Linked DNA regions of Ovis aries. The protein of the gene in region 2 binds, or shares a complex with, the protein of the main gene of each other region. Links are inferred from orthologs where the notes say so. Each region holds a gene or a part of one and is shown on either strand. Other genes may lie near its edges.

Region 1 (3,515 bases), about 190 Mb from region 2:
GAGCTCTGCGGCGATGCTTGTCACCAGCACCCAGGGCTGCTCTGGGACAGATGACTGACTGCAGCGGCTCCCGTCTCGGGCCTCACTCACGTGCTGTTCACTCTGACACCTGACTGTCCTGACCTGCGTGAACTCTGGCCACAGCACAGGTCTGACCTTCCTCAGCTCAGCCTCACCTAACAGAGCCGCTCGGCCACTGACTTTTCAGAGGTCGAGGAGGACAGGACTCTGGTCAGTGGTTTATGCCTGAGCAGCCTCTCGCCTAGGACAGAGCTCATCCTTTGGATCTGTGTGCCCAGGGCATCACGTGGGCAGTGCTGATGCACAAAGGAGCCTGGTAACTGGCTAGCATTTCTCTTGAGGGTTAGGCCCTTTGCGGTCAGTTAGACCGGGGGTTGGCAAACTTGGTCTGTGGGCCGGTCTGGCTTGCTGCCTGATTTTTGCAGGCCTGCAAGCTAAAAAATGGTTTTTACCTTTTAAGTGGTTGAAAAAATTAAGAATATGTAGTGACACACGAAATTCCAAATCTCAGGGTCCCTAAGTGAAGCTGAACTTGTTCACACATTGAAGGCTGTCTTTGCGCCATGATGGCAGAGCTGAGTAGCTGCGAAAGCCTGAGCACTAGCCAAAGTTTGCTGACCTCTATTGAGAGCAGTGTCTTCATTTCACAGGTAAGAGAACTTGGATGATGCATCAGAATCACACAGCTAGGCAAAATCACACAGCTAGAGCGAGTTAGTGATTAGACCGTGACCTCGAGCTGCTCCTTCCATCTCCCAAACCTGAGGCCTTCTCTTTGCTGACTCGCCCTCCCTGTGCCATCTTTCCTCCTGACTCCCCCATCCCCTCACCTAGGAGGCACTTGCTCAGCATTCACAGACCATCACGACACAGATACTGGAAAGTTCTTTTAGTAATTCACCAGCTACAGCAGCTGTCTCGGGGCCGCCCTCCAGGAGTCGAGGAGGAGGGCCGCCTGGCTCAGCGCTTCATACTCCAGGTTGGCCAGAAACAGCATCTTCATTTTCGTTTCCACACAGTTCTCCGTCAGTCTGTTGGCCAGCAGAGTGGCGGCCGATTGTTGGAGGAGCCAGCCAATCATCTCGTCTGGTTTCAGGTTCTTCAGGGCGAGCGTGTGTTCACCCCAGAGGCTTAAGTGAAGCACGTTAGCAGCCACTCGGGCGGATGGCCTCTGCAACAGGAAGGGGAGCCGGAGCTGAGAGCACCTGTGACGGTCTTCACCCACAGCCCGCTTTCAGTGCAGCCTGTTTCAGGGTCTTCCCTTCTCTGGCCCTGAGCATGCTCTTCACCCTCCCTCCTGCAGTACTCTGCACACACACTGGCCGATTCTACCCACGCCCCAGGCTTTCCCATGGGTACGAATTTGGGGTGGGGTGGAGTATGGGTAGAGGACATTGTTGGAATAGCCTCCCCATCCTGGGCCTTTTTTTAAATTAAGGTTTTTTTCGCCATGCAGCATGGCATATGTGATCTTAGTTGCCCAACCAGGGATCGAACCTGTGTCCCCTGCATCGGAATCTTGGGAGGCCACCACTGGACTGTCTAGGGTGAGGGGAGTTGTCCTAACTTCATGACGGCAGTGCACACATGTGACAGCCTGCTGCCCGTGGTGAGGGGCAAGCGGTAGGGCGGGCCTGTGGGCCCTGGTCTGCCCGTGCTTTTCCACTCCACATGCCACCTGCACTGGCCCTGCCACTCCTTTTAAGGTTTCAAATGTGTTAGCCTTTGGAGTAATTTCAAAATGTCCAGATCTCTTAGAAGAGTTCATCCTATCTATCTGGTTAGATCTCAGCTGATTCTATATCTTCATTAAACATATCTTAAAACTGCATCTGTTTCCCTCTGAGTAACTTTAAGCAACTAAAGCCAAGAGGAGTTGACTGCTGGAATCCTGACTCCAAACTTGGTGGCCAGCTCCCCTGCTCCTATCTATATTCCAGCCTGTTGTGTGTTCTGTATGTGGCTATCACCTCTGTAAGATAGAGGAGCCGTTTTTCACTCCGGTGCCTGCCCAGCCCTGCCCTTTACTCTAGAACACGACCTGAGGTTCCCATCCACACGCCCCCTGTAAGCCTGAACTGCCTCACCTTGCAAGCCTCCCGCTGCAGCAGCGACCTCACCAGGCACCTCACGTCCCACGGCACCCACTCGGGCAGTGCTGGCAGCTGAGCCTCCTGGTAACTGCGGCTTTCAAGGTGGGCCCTGCCCTGGCCATAAAAGGGATTGGGGAGCCCAAAGATTTCATAGGCGAGTGCGCCCACCGCCCAGGCATCCGCCTTGCTGTAGTCGATCACTGCCCTGGGGCCAGGGCAGGCCGTGGACACCTGCTCGGAAAGCAACAAGTGAACAGTCACACTGCTGGCACTTGAAACCTGTTTGTGCTCCTGCACGGCCCCCGATTCATGCACTAGCCTGGACTCTGTCCCAAGGAACCCAGAACTGGAACGAGCTGTAGCTCAGGTCCAAGCCAGTGTGCTCAGGCTGCCCACTTCAGGCTGGCAAAACGCATCTCTCCTGGGACTTCAGTTCCAGGCGGAGAGGCAGGGAGAGGACTTCTGACAAATTACGGGTCAGAAAAGATGAAAGGGTTGAGTAAACAGAGAGGAGACCTGGTGGGAGAGGCTCTGCTGGTGGCACGTGACACGCTCAGTGGGACTCACCTCAGGAGCCATCAGGCAGCCATTTCCGCCGCGGTCCACGTACCAGCTGGTGAAAGGCAACTGCAGGCCGACGCGCTCATCAGCCAAGCAGCAGCCAAAGTCTGTGATCACCAACCAGGGGCAGCCGTCTGTGGGGAGACATGCAGACGTGAGAGGCCGTCTCCTCTCCTCCCTGCACCTCGAGGCCCTCTGATACCTCCACTAAAGCCACCCTCAGGACACGCTGACCCAGGAACAGACTACTGCACAGCTGCACTCATCTCACATGCTAGCAACGTAATGCCAAAATTCTCCAAGCCAGGTTCCAATAGCAAGTGAACTGAGAACCCCCAGATGTTCAAGCTGGATTTAGAAAAGGCAGAGGAACCAGAGGTCAAACTGCCAACATCTGTTGGATCATCAAGAAAGCAAGAGGATTCCAGAAAAACATCTACTTCCGCTTCACTGACTACACTAAAGCCTTTGACTGTGCGGACCACAACAAACTGGAAAATTCTTCCATAGAAGAATGGGAATACCAGACCACCTGACCTGCCTCCTGAGAAACCTGTATGCAGGTCAAGAAGCAACAGCGAGAACCAGACATGGAACAACAGAGTGATTCAAAATTGGGAGAGGAGTACATCAAGGCTATATATTATCACCCTGCTTATTTAACTTATATGCAGAGTACATCATGAGAAACGCTGGACTGGAAGAAACACAAGCTGGAATCAAGACTGCCGGGAGAAATATCAATAACCTCAGATAAGCAGATGACACCACCCTTATGGCAGAAAGTGAAGAAGAACTAAAGAGCCTTTTGATGAAGGAAGAGAGTGAAAAAGCTACCTT
Region 2 (4,280 bases):
TCACTAAAAAAAAAACACATTTGAAAGGCAGAGAGTGGGGGAAAACACTGAAGTAGGGATCCAGAAAGCTAGACACATATGTTCGTTCCCCCACTGATTAGTCATATATTATTTGTGTGCTTCAGTTCACATCTGATACAGTCCTATTTCAGTTATTATGAGTAGAGTGGTGTAGATAGAAATGTCTAGCACACAAGGAAGTGCTGTCATAGGGATCTAAAGAAGTGATATTTTTGTCTTGTGTAACAGTGCTGTGGCCAAAATAAGCATGGGAAAAGATGCTCAGCATCATTAATCATTAGAGAAATGCAAAACAAAACTACAGTGAGATATCACTTCACACCCACGAGGATGGCTACTGTCAAAAAACTTGGCAAGGATGTGGGAAAATGGTACTCTTGTACCCTGTTGCTAAGAGTATAAAAATGGTATTGCTGCTATGGAACACAGTATAGTGGTTCCTTAAAAAAAAAAAAAGGGATGAGGGGTGCTGCCAGCAGCTAGGAGGAGCAAGGAATGGGGAATTACTGTGTAACAGCTATAGAGTCCAGTTTTACGAAAGAAAAAGTGTTCCGGAGATGGTGGTGATGATTACACAATATTATTAATGCATTTAATACATTAAATACTTAAAACCCCAATTCTTATCAGAAAAAAAAGTAACAGTCATCCAAAGAATGGATCAACTGTGGTATATCCATACAATGGAATAGTATTTGGCAATAAAAAGGAAATACTGATACATGCTACAGTATGGACAAACCTTGAAAACATTATGCTAGACATGGTCATATACTGTACAGTTCCATTTATAAAAAGTATCTGGAATAGGGAAACCTCTAAAGACAAAAAGTCCCTTAGTGGTTGCCAGGGGCTAGGGAAGGGGGAAAATGGGAGAATGACACCTAATGGGCATGGTGTTTCTTTCAGAAGGGAAGAAAATGTTTTAAAATAGATTGTGGTGATGGTTGCACAACTCTTGACTACACAAAGAACCAATGAACTGTATACTTTAAATGGGTTAAGTGGATAACATGCAAATTACATCTCAATTTAAAAAGTGGTAAGGCTTCCCTCGGGGCTCAGAGGTTAAAGTGTCTGCCTGCAATGCGGGAGACCTGGGTTCAATCCCTAGGTTGGGAAGATCCCCTGGAGAAGGAAATGGCAACCCACTCCAGTATTCTTGCCTGGAGAATCCCATGAACGCAGGAGCCTGGTGGGCTCACAAAGAGTCGGACACGACTGAGCGACTTCACTGTCACTTTCAAGGATCAGTATTCTCTTTTGTTTTGTTTTTAAACTGATTCGTCTCAAACACAAAGGTCATTGAAAAGCAGCAAATGTTTCACTGGCAACTAAGTCAACCAAAAAAAAAGGCAAGAGGAGGAAATTAGTCAAGTTGAGAGTTGCAAGCTGTTGAAGGAGCAAAATGACGGTAGTTTCCGTTTTCCAAGGGCTCCCTCTCCTGGGGAAGCAGAGTAACACCACACACAGTGAAGGACAGAGTAAAAGAGACCCGACCTCAAGAACTCTGGCCTTAGGCCTAACATGAGCCTTACACAAGATGACCGTGGTATGGTCGCCATTTATCTGAATCAACTCTTCCTCTCTATCCAGACCTATCAATAATACAGAACAAGGAACAATGAAAAAGTATACTGAACTAGAAATCTAGCAACAGGGGCAATTCACTTCTGAGATTCCTATCAGTAAAACCAGAGCACTGATCTATAAAACTGTATCTAGCTCCAGTACTGTGTGCCTATAATTCTACTACTTGGCGAAAGTCCCTTCTGAAAATGGAGTTCTTATTTGCAAAGAGGATATACAGAGACTTAGGCCAAAATCAGGCAATGCAAATATTTTCTACCAAACGTAAAAATCAAATAAATGTTCAGGTATTACCATTAACTCTATCGATCCTTTCTTCTTCTAAAAAAAAAAAAAAGAAAAAGTAATCACCTATTTCACTCTCTTTACAAATAAAAGGAACAAAATCTAGATTTTAAAGGTTAGCACTAATGGAAGGAAACTTGGCAGTCAGTTAAGAACTCTCGATTCTAGGTCAAGATCATTCACTGAATCGCTGAATGACCTTGAGCCAGCTATTGCTCCACTCTAGATACCAGCTTTTCTGTTTGCAAAACGAGGGGCTTGCTCCTGGGGATTAAGTTAGTTTTGTTTAGTTGCCAAGTCTCATCCGACTCTTTGCGACCCCATATACTTTAGCTCTCTGTCCATGTGACTTCCCAGGCAAGAATACTGGAGTGGGTTCCCATATCCTTCTCCAAGGGATCTTCGCGACCCCAGGGATCGCACCCGCAAACCTTAGAGGCTCTTTCAACTCAATCGTCCTTAAGGAGGGGCTGAGTGATTAACCTCGTGGTCCGGCTCGCCGCGTGCACTTGGTACCCCCACCCTGACCCGTAAATCCTAAGCCTTGCCCGCTTGCGCCCGCCGCCCTCAGCGTGCACAGCTCTTGTTCCTCACAACTGCTTAGCTCTTGCTCCAAGGCCCCCACAAGGCCGGTGGGACCAGAGCCGGGTGGGCAGGTGGCGGCGAGCTCCCTGCGTCTCGCGGCCACAGCCCGGAGGGTACTTACTGACTCGCAACAGGGCCACATAGATGAGGAAGTTCCGTATGGAGGAGATCACATCCTCGCGCATCTTCCGTTTCATCTCCTCTGGGTCCAGCTTCGGCGCAAGGCCTTCGATCCGGAACATCTCAGCTCTCGCTAACGGCTCCCAGCTGCCAACCTCTCGGATCTTCTCCGCAGCCTCCCGGCGCCCGGAATTCGGCCCAACCCATTTCCTGTTCCCGCCCCTCATTTTTACGCGTGGCGACGAGAGCCTGCGAAGGACAAACTTCCTCCTTAAATTGAGCTGTTCTGAAGGAGGGTGGCCTGAAGAGGGTGCTCGCAGTCTTAGCGACGCAGGACTCCTGTTCTTCCAGGCCTTTTGTTTAACAACCTCTGTCCTGAACCGGGTGCGCGTAGCTGAAGGGGGAGGAGGTGTGCATAGGTACCATCATAAATAGTAATAGTACGGAATACTCAGTACAGTGCTACCCCATGAATTTGATGTTATAATCTTCATTTCCTAGATGAGAAAACTGACGCACAGAGATCTTTAAAACAACAGCTTGCCCAAATGTGTTTTAAAATACCTCGGAGCGGGGGAAGTGTTGGGAGAGATGAAAGGATATTAGCAAAATACTGAAAATTACTTAAGCTGGTGATAGTGTATCACTTTAGTTAATCCCGGCCTTCTATTTTGAGTATTTTTGAACTTTTTAATGATAAATAAAAGATAAAAATGATGAAACTTGCTCAAGATTACACAACTGATTAGTTGCTGAGCAGGGTTTTACACCTAGTTAGACTGGTAGGATCCCAGACACAGAGTGTTTAACATTTTCCATATTATTGTTGTCTTCTCATTTCTGGAGTTAACCGATCATCAAATTATGGTATTGGTCCAATACCATAATTTGATAGTATTGTCAAAGTATAGTATTGGACCAATAATAACTTATATATGAATCAAGTTTATATCTGTTCAACATCTTACAGATTTACAGATTACGGGAGAGGCTTAGAAACCACCAGTATTAAAGTCGGTCTGCTGGTGATGGACAGAGACAAGGTTCTAATGCAAATAATTATAATGTCAAGTTGAATTCTCTTTCCTGTGAACTCTGTTGTTCCTCTGTTAGTCGTATTAGCCATTAGCTGCTTAGATGGACATCTCTGGGGCCAGAAGGAAGGAATTTAATGCAGCCAGATTTCCTGTCGAAGAATCATCAAACAGTTGTTAGAAGGATGCTGCCCCAAATTATGCACGCCAATCAGCCATATATATAATTCTTAGACACGAACCAGATGACTGAACTGGTCACATATTTCAAAACCAGAATGCTCCTTCTTCAGTGTGCTATGCACAATGCATAGTGACAGTGGATTTTAGATGAATTAGAACAAGAATTTAACTATCGGAGGAACTGATAACTCTAAGTGTTGCCGACCGACCACCTTCCTGATTGACAGAATGGGTCGAGAAAGGGAACTCATCTGCCTATTTAGGCTTTAGTAATTTCTTGCATCTATAATTCATGCAATGGAAGAGCAGAGGCAGCTCTGAAATGGGAGGGGCTGACTCCCAAGGAAGAGCTCCACCTCACCCTTTGAGAGTGTTTAGAAAGCCTGCAGTGATGCTGGAAAGTAGCAGGTGCTGTGGAAAGAGCTTGAACCGGAAGACTGGAGACATAGCCTTCAGATCTGG
Region 3 (3,515 bases), on a different chromosome or scaffold from region 2:
GAACTAAAAGACAAAGGCACTTGGGGTGACTAGATTGCCACTACTATAGGAAGAATGCTTTGCAGAGTTGCTATCAGTCACAAAAACCTATTTAAAAAAATGTTCATTCCAAGTTAGTGGCACAGTGATAAAAGGCAAATAGCTGAAGGCAAGCCAAGAACCATACTGCTCATGCTCCAAAGGCAGAAACAGAAACTTGCCAACACATAGCACCTGAATGTGTACCTTTCCTTAAATACACTGAAGAAAGCTTTAAACTTAAAGCAGATAAAAATGCCCATGCTTACCCTGTGTTTGGTGAAAAGGTGGTATCAAATGTCAGTTTCAAACCTTGGCAAATCTATTTCAAGAGAAAAAGAATTTTTTTTCAGTTTATTTCCTTTTTGAAACACAAAAATAAAATAATACTAAACCACATTTTCAAAATGTTACCTGGTCTTCAATAGCGATTTCTGTTCCCAGAGTGTTATCAGTGTTCCACTTTTCTGTGAAAGTCAGACCATACTCACACCATTTATATTTGGTCTCCAAGGTCCCAGTAACTTTACCAGTGTCTGTATTAGATGAACCAGATGTCGAGAATTCCTAACAAGACAATAAAAAAGTTCAGAAACTTTCTCGTAAGCCTGCAATGATACACTTTCTAACTTACACAAACCCCACTGAAACCCTTAGTAATTCACTAATCCCTTTTTCTAGCTTCCCAAACACTCCTAACCCTCTGCTACTGAGTAAATACAAGAGTGACAAACTAGCTTGTTAATTACTACCATCTTGTTACTGCTGACATTTTCAACCAACAGATCAAAAGTTACTTGAATATGATTCTCAAGTGAACAACAAACTATAAAGTTTTTAAGGAAATTCCTGCTAAAGTGATCCTGAGTTAAAAAAAAAAAATCAGTGGGGGGAGAGGGATAGTGAATGGGTATTTTAGAACTGCTTCCAATCTACCAGATAGTCAATGAAAACACTAACTAGGTCAGCATGGCTAATCATACACTCCCTCCATTAAAATCAGTTTACACACAATTTACTATGAAATGGTCCCTGAAATTCCCTAAAAGGAAAGCACTCCACTGAAAGAATCTATGACACAAAGTTTTTAATTCTTTGGTAACCTCAATATTCTGTTTTTCTGCCACAGTCTTCATCAGGTTCTATGCCTTTCCAATCACCTTTCACATTTTCCAAAAAAAAAAAAATTGGTGGAAGGAAATTCCCTTTAACTGGTTCATATCATCTATAATATAAACTATACTCTGTAGAACAGATGATCACTGGAGAAAAATCTGTGCAGTGACTGATTTGAGATATATCATATAATCTTCTGTTTGTAGCAAATATAAATAACTTGCCAATCCCTAACTGTACACCAACTGAAAAGGAAGATATAATATGGAAAGAGCTTATCTGAAATTTAAAATCTGCTACAGATAATCCAGAAATCTAATCTTTATGAGCTTAGTATACAGGCAAGCAGTTGAACTCTTCGAACATAAAATATTAAAATGCCTTGAGGGTTCTAATTTGACTACCAATGTTATACTCTATATGGGAAAGCCAAATTTAAAAACGGCTGATATGAACTTTTTAGAGATAAGAAGAGAATTTCAACCTGAAATTGTGATACTTGCAGAATGCGGAAATATCCAAAGCTGTATCCATTGGAGAAAAGACCAATCATCTTTCACTTACAAAACATCATTTGTGTAACTGCTGCTCTGCAGTGACACAGACTCAATTCTTCAGGTCATATATACTATATAAGAGTCTTACACATTGTCTCCTGAAATTAGATGCTTTCATCAATAGAAACTGAGTCAAAACTCGGCGCTCAATGCCCATAGTAAAAAGCACCAGATTGTGTTAGCAAATAACACTGGATATAAAATTAGGAGTCCTGATATCAAGTTCTGGCTGGCATTTACTAAATGAGTAACACTAAGGAAGACACTTTTCCGGGTCTCAGTTATCGCAACTTTAAAAAGTTTAAGCCTCCTATCTCTGGAGGATTAAATAGGTCTGATTTTGTCAAAGTTTTGCATATATTCACGTGCTCTACACAAAAGGATATTAAAAACCATATTAAAAAGCAGAGACATTACTTTGCCAACAAAGGTCCATCTAGTCAAGGTTATGGTTTTTCCAGTGGTCATGTATGGATGTGAGAGTTGGACTCTAAAGAAAGCTGAATGCAGAAGAATTGATGCATTTGAACTGTGGTGTTGGAGAAGACTCTTGAGAGCCCCTTGGACTGCAGAAGATCCAACCAGTCCATCTTAAAGGAGATCAGTCCTGGGTGTTCATTGGAAGGACTGATGTTGAAGCTGATGTGAAGAGCTGACTCATTTGAAAAGACCCTGATGCTGGGAAAGATTGAGGGCAAGAGAAGAAGGGGGCAACAGAGGATGAGATGGTTGGACGGCATCACCAACTCAATGGACATGGGTTTGGGTGAACTCCGGGAGTTGGTGATGGACAGGGAGGCCTGGCGTGCTGCAGTTCATGGGGTCGCAAAGAGTCAGACACGATTGAATGACTGAACTGAACACAAAAGGAATGCATTATGAAAACAATATAAAATACATTCCTGTCCACAGTAAACCTTTCCTTTCAAACAAAGATTTTGATTTATCAAACAATCTAGTACTAGATATACTGCTCTGATTATTCCCCAGTTTAAAGCTGATTTTGTCCCTTCAGCCAGCAAGTAAAATCTTAAACACTAGAACTGAATCTTCTACTTTTTTTAAGAAGGGCTTTGTGTTTCAGCAACTTATTTAAAAGGGGCCAACAAGTCAGAAGAGTGAACACAAACAAACACCAAGTCACTGCTCTCTGTAACCTGTTACCCTGGGCTAGTAAGTCACTCACCCACACTGAATACTCAGGCCTCCTTTCTGACCAAAGAAACCAAACAGATGTGACCAATATAAAACCCAAGAAATCCAAATCTAGGCATTAAGAAACTACAAAATTATTAATTTAAGTAAATACCAATTGCACTAAGTGCACTAAATATACTAAGGGAGTTAACTATAGAAATAATTTATCAAAATAATAACATTCAATATGCACACACTATACCCATCCCCTAAAGAATCTAAAAAAATTTTTAGGAGGAAAAAAAATTACAAAAAATATAGTTTTACTTTACTCTCTTTGAGGGAGTTTGTTAGGTAGAATCAAGACATCCAAATATAAAAATATTAACCTCTTTAAAAATACTCAAATTTAAGACTCTCTAAATTCACAAAATACAAGTGGAAATTTCCCCCCAAGGAGGGCTGCTAGATTATGACCATTATATAAATAATTAGTACACTCAAATTAAGAGTTATTGAGTATGTTTATGCCCAGGACTCTTAAGTATTTTTCCTTTTTTCAAAAGATATTTATTTATCTATTCATTTGCCTGTGTTGGGTCTCAGCTGCAGCATACAAGACCCTTTTTTTGGTTACAGCATGTGGAATCCTTTAATTGTAGCATGTGGGATCTAGTTCCCTGACCA

The links. Proteins that work in one complex are often made in the same cells at the same time.
Region 1: the proteins of TOMM5 (region 2) and PINK1 are in contact, whole or in part, in a cryo-EM structure (PDB 9EII), measured with the Homo sapiens proteins. The link is inferred for Ovis aries from reciprocal best matches to the Homo sapiens genes TOMM5 and PINK1. Residues at the interface, in NP_001001790.1 of Homo sapiens: Met1, Phe2, Arg3, Ile4, Gly6, Leu7, Ala8, Lys10, Leu11, Asp12, Pro13, Glu14, Met16, Lys17, Arg18; in NP_115785.1 of Homo sapiens: Gln484, Ala488, Gln491, Ser495, Lys496, Pro498, Val502, Lys520, Leu522, Lys523, Leu524, Met527, Glu565, Cys568, Gln569, Ala571, Leu572, Leu573, Cys575, Ser576, Trp577, Ala579, Ala580.
Region 3: the proteins of TOMM5 (region 2) and VDAC2 are in contact, whole or in part, in a cryo-EM structure (PDB 9EII), measured with the Homo sapiens proteins. The link is inferred for Ovis aries from reciprocal best matches to the Homo sapiens genes TOMM5 and VDAC2. Residues at the interface, in NP_001001790.1 of Homo sapiens: Ile25, Arg29, Leu32, Ile33, Ala36, Arg39, Val40, Phe43, Ile44, Lys47; in NP_001171752.1 of Homo sapiens: Val38, Thr60, Gly63, Asp239, Tyr258, Gln260, Thr261, Leu262, Leu268, Leu270, Val286, Leu288.

What each region holds. Positions count from the first base shown.
Region 1 is NC_056055.1:245,716,904-245,720,418, forward strand, and holds part of PINK1 (serine/threonine-protein kinase PINK1, mitochondrial), read right to left. Parts: intron 2,810-3,515; coding exon 2,682-2,809; intron 2,346-2,681; coding exon 2,109-2,345; intron 1,193-2,108; coding exon 926-1,192; 3' UTR 1-925. UniProt on the Homo sapiens protein: Serine/threonine-protein kinase which acts as a sensor of mitochondrial damage and protects against mitochondrial dysfunction during cellular stress.
Region 2 is NC_056055.1:51,176,006-51,180,285, reverse strand, and holds the start of TOMM5 (mitochondrial import receptor subunit TOM5 homolog), read right to left. Parts: upstream 2,807-4,280; 5' UTR 2,724-2,806; coding exon 2,603-2,723; intron 1-2,602.
Region 3 is NC_056078.1:30,190,377-30,193,891, reverse strand, and holds part of VDAC2 (voltage-dependent anion-selective channel protein 2), read right to left. Parts: intron 586-3,515; coding exon 433-585; intron 341-432; coding exon 288-340; intron 1-287. UniProt on the Homo sapiens protein: Non-selective voltage-gated ion channel that mediates the transport of anions and cations through the mitochondrion outer membrane and plasma membrane.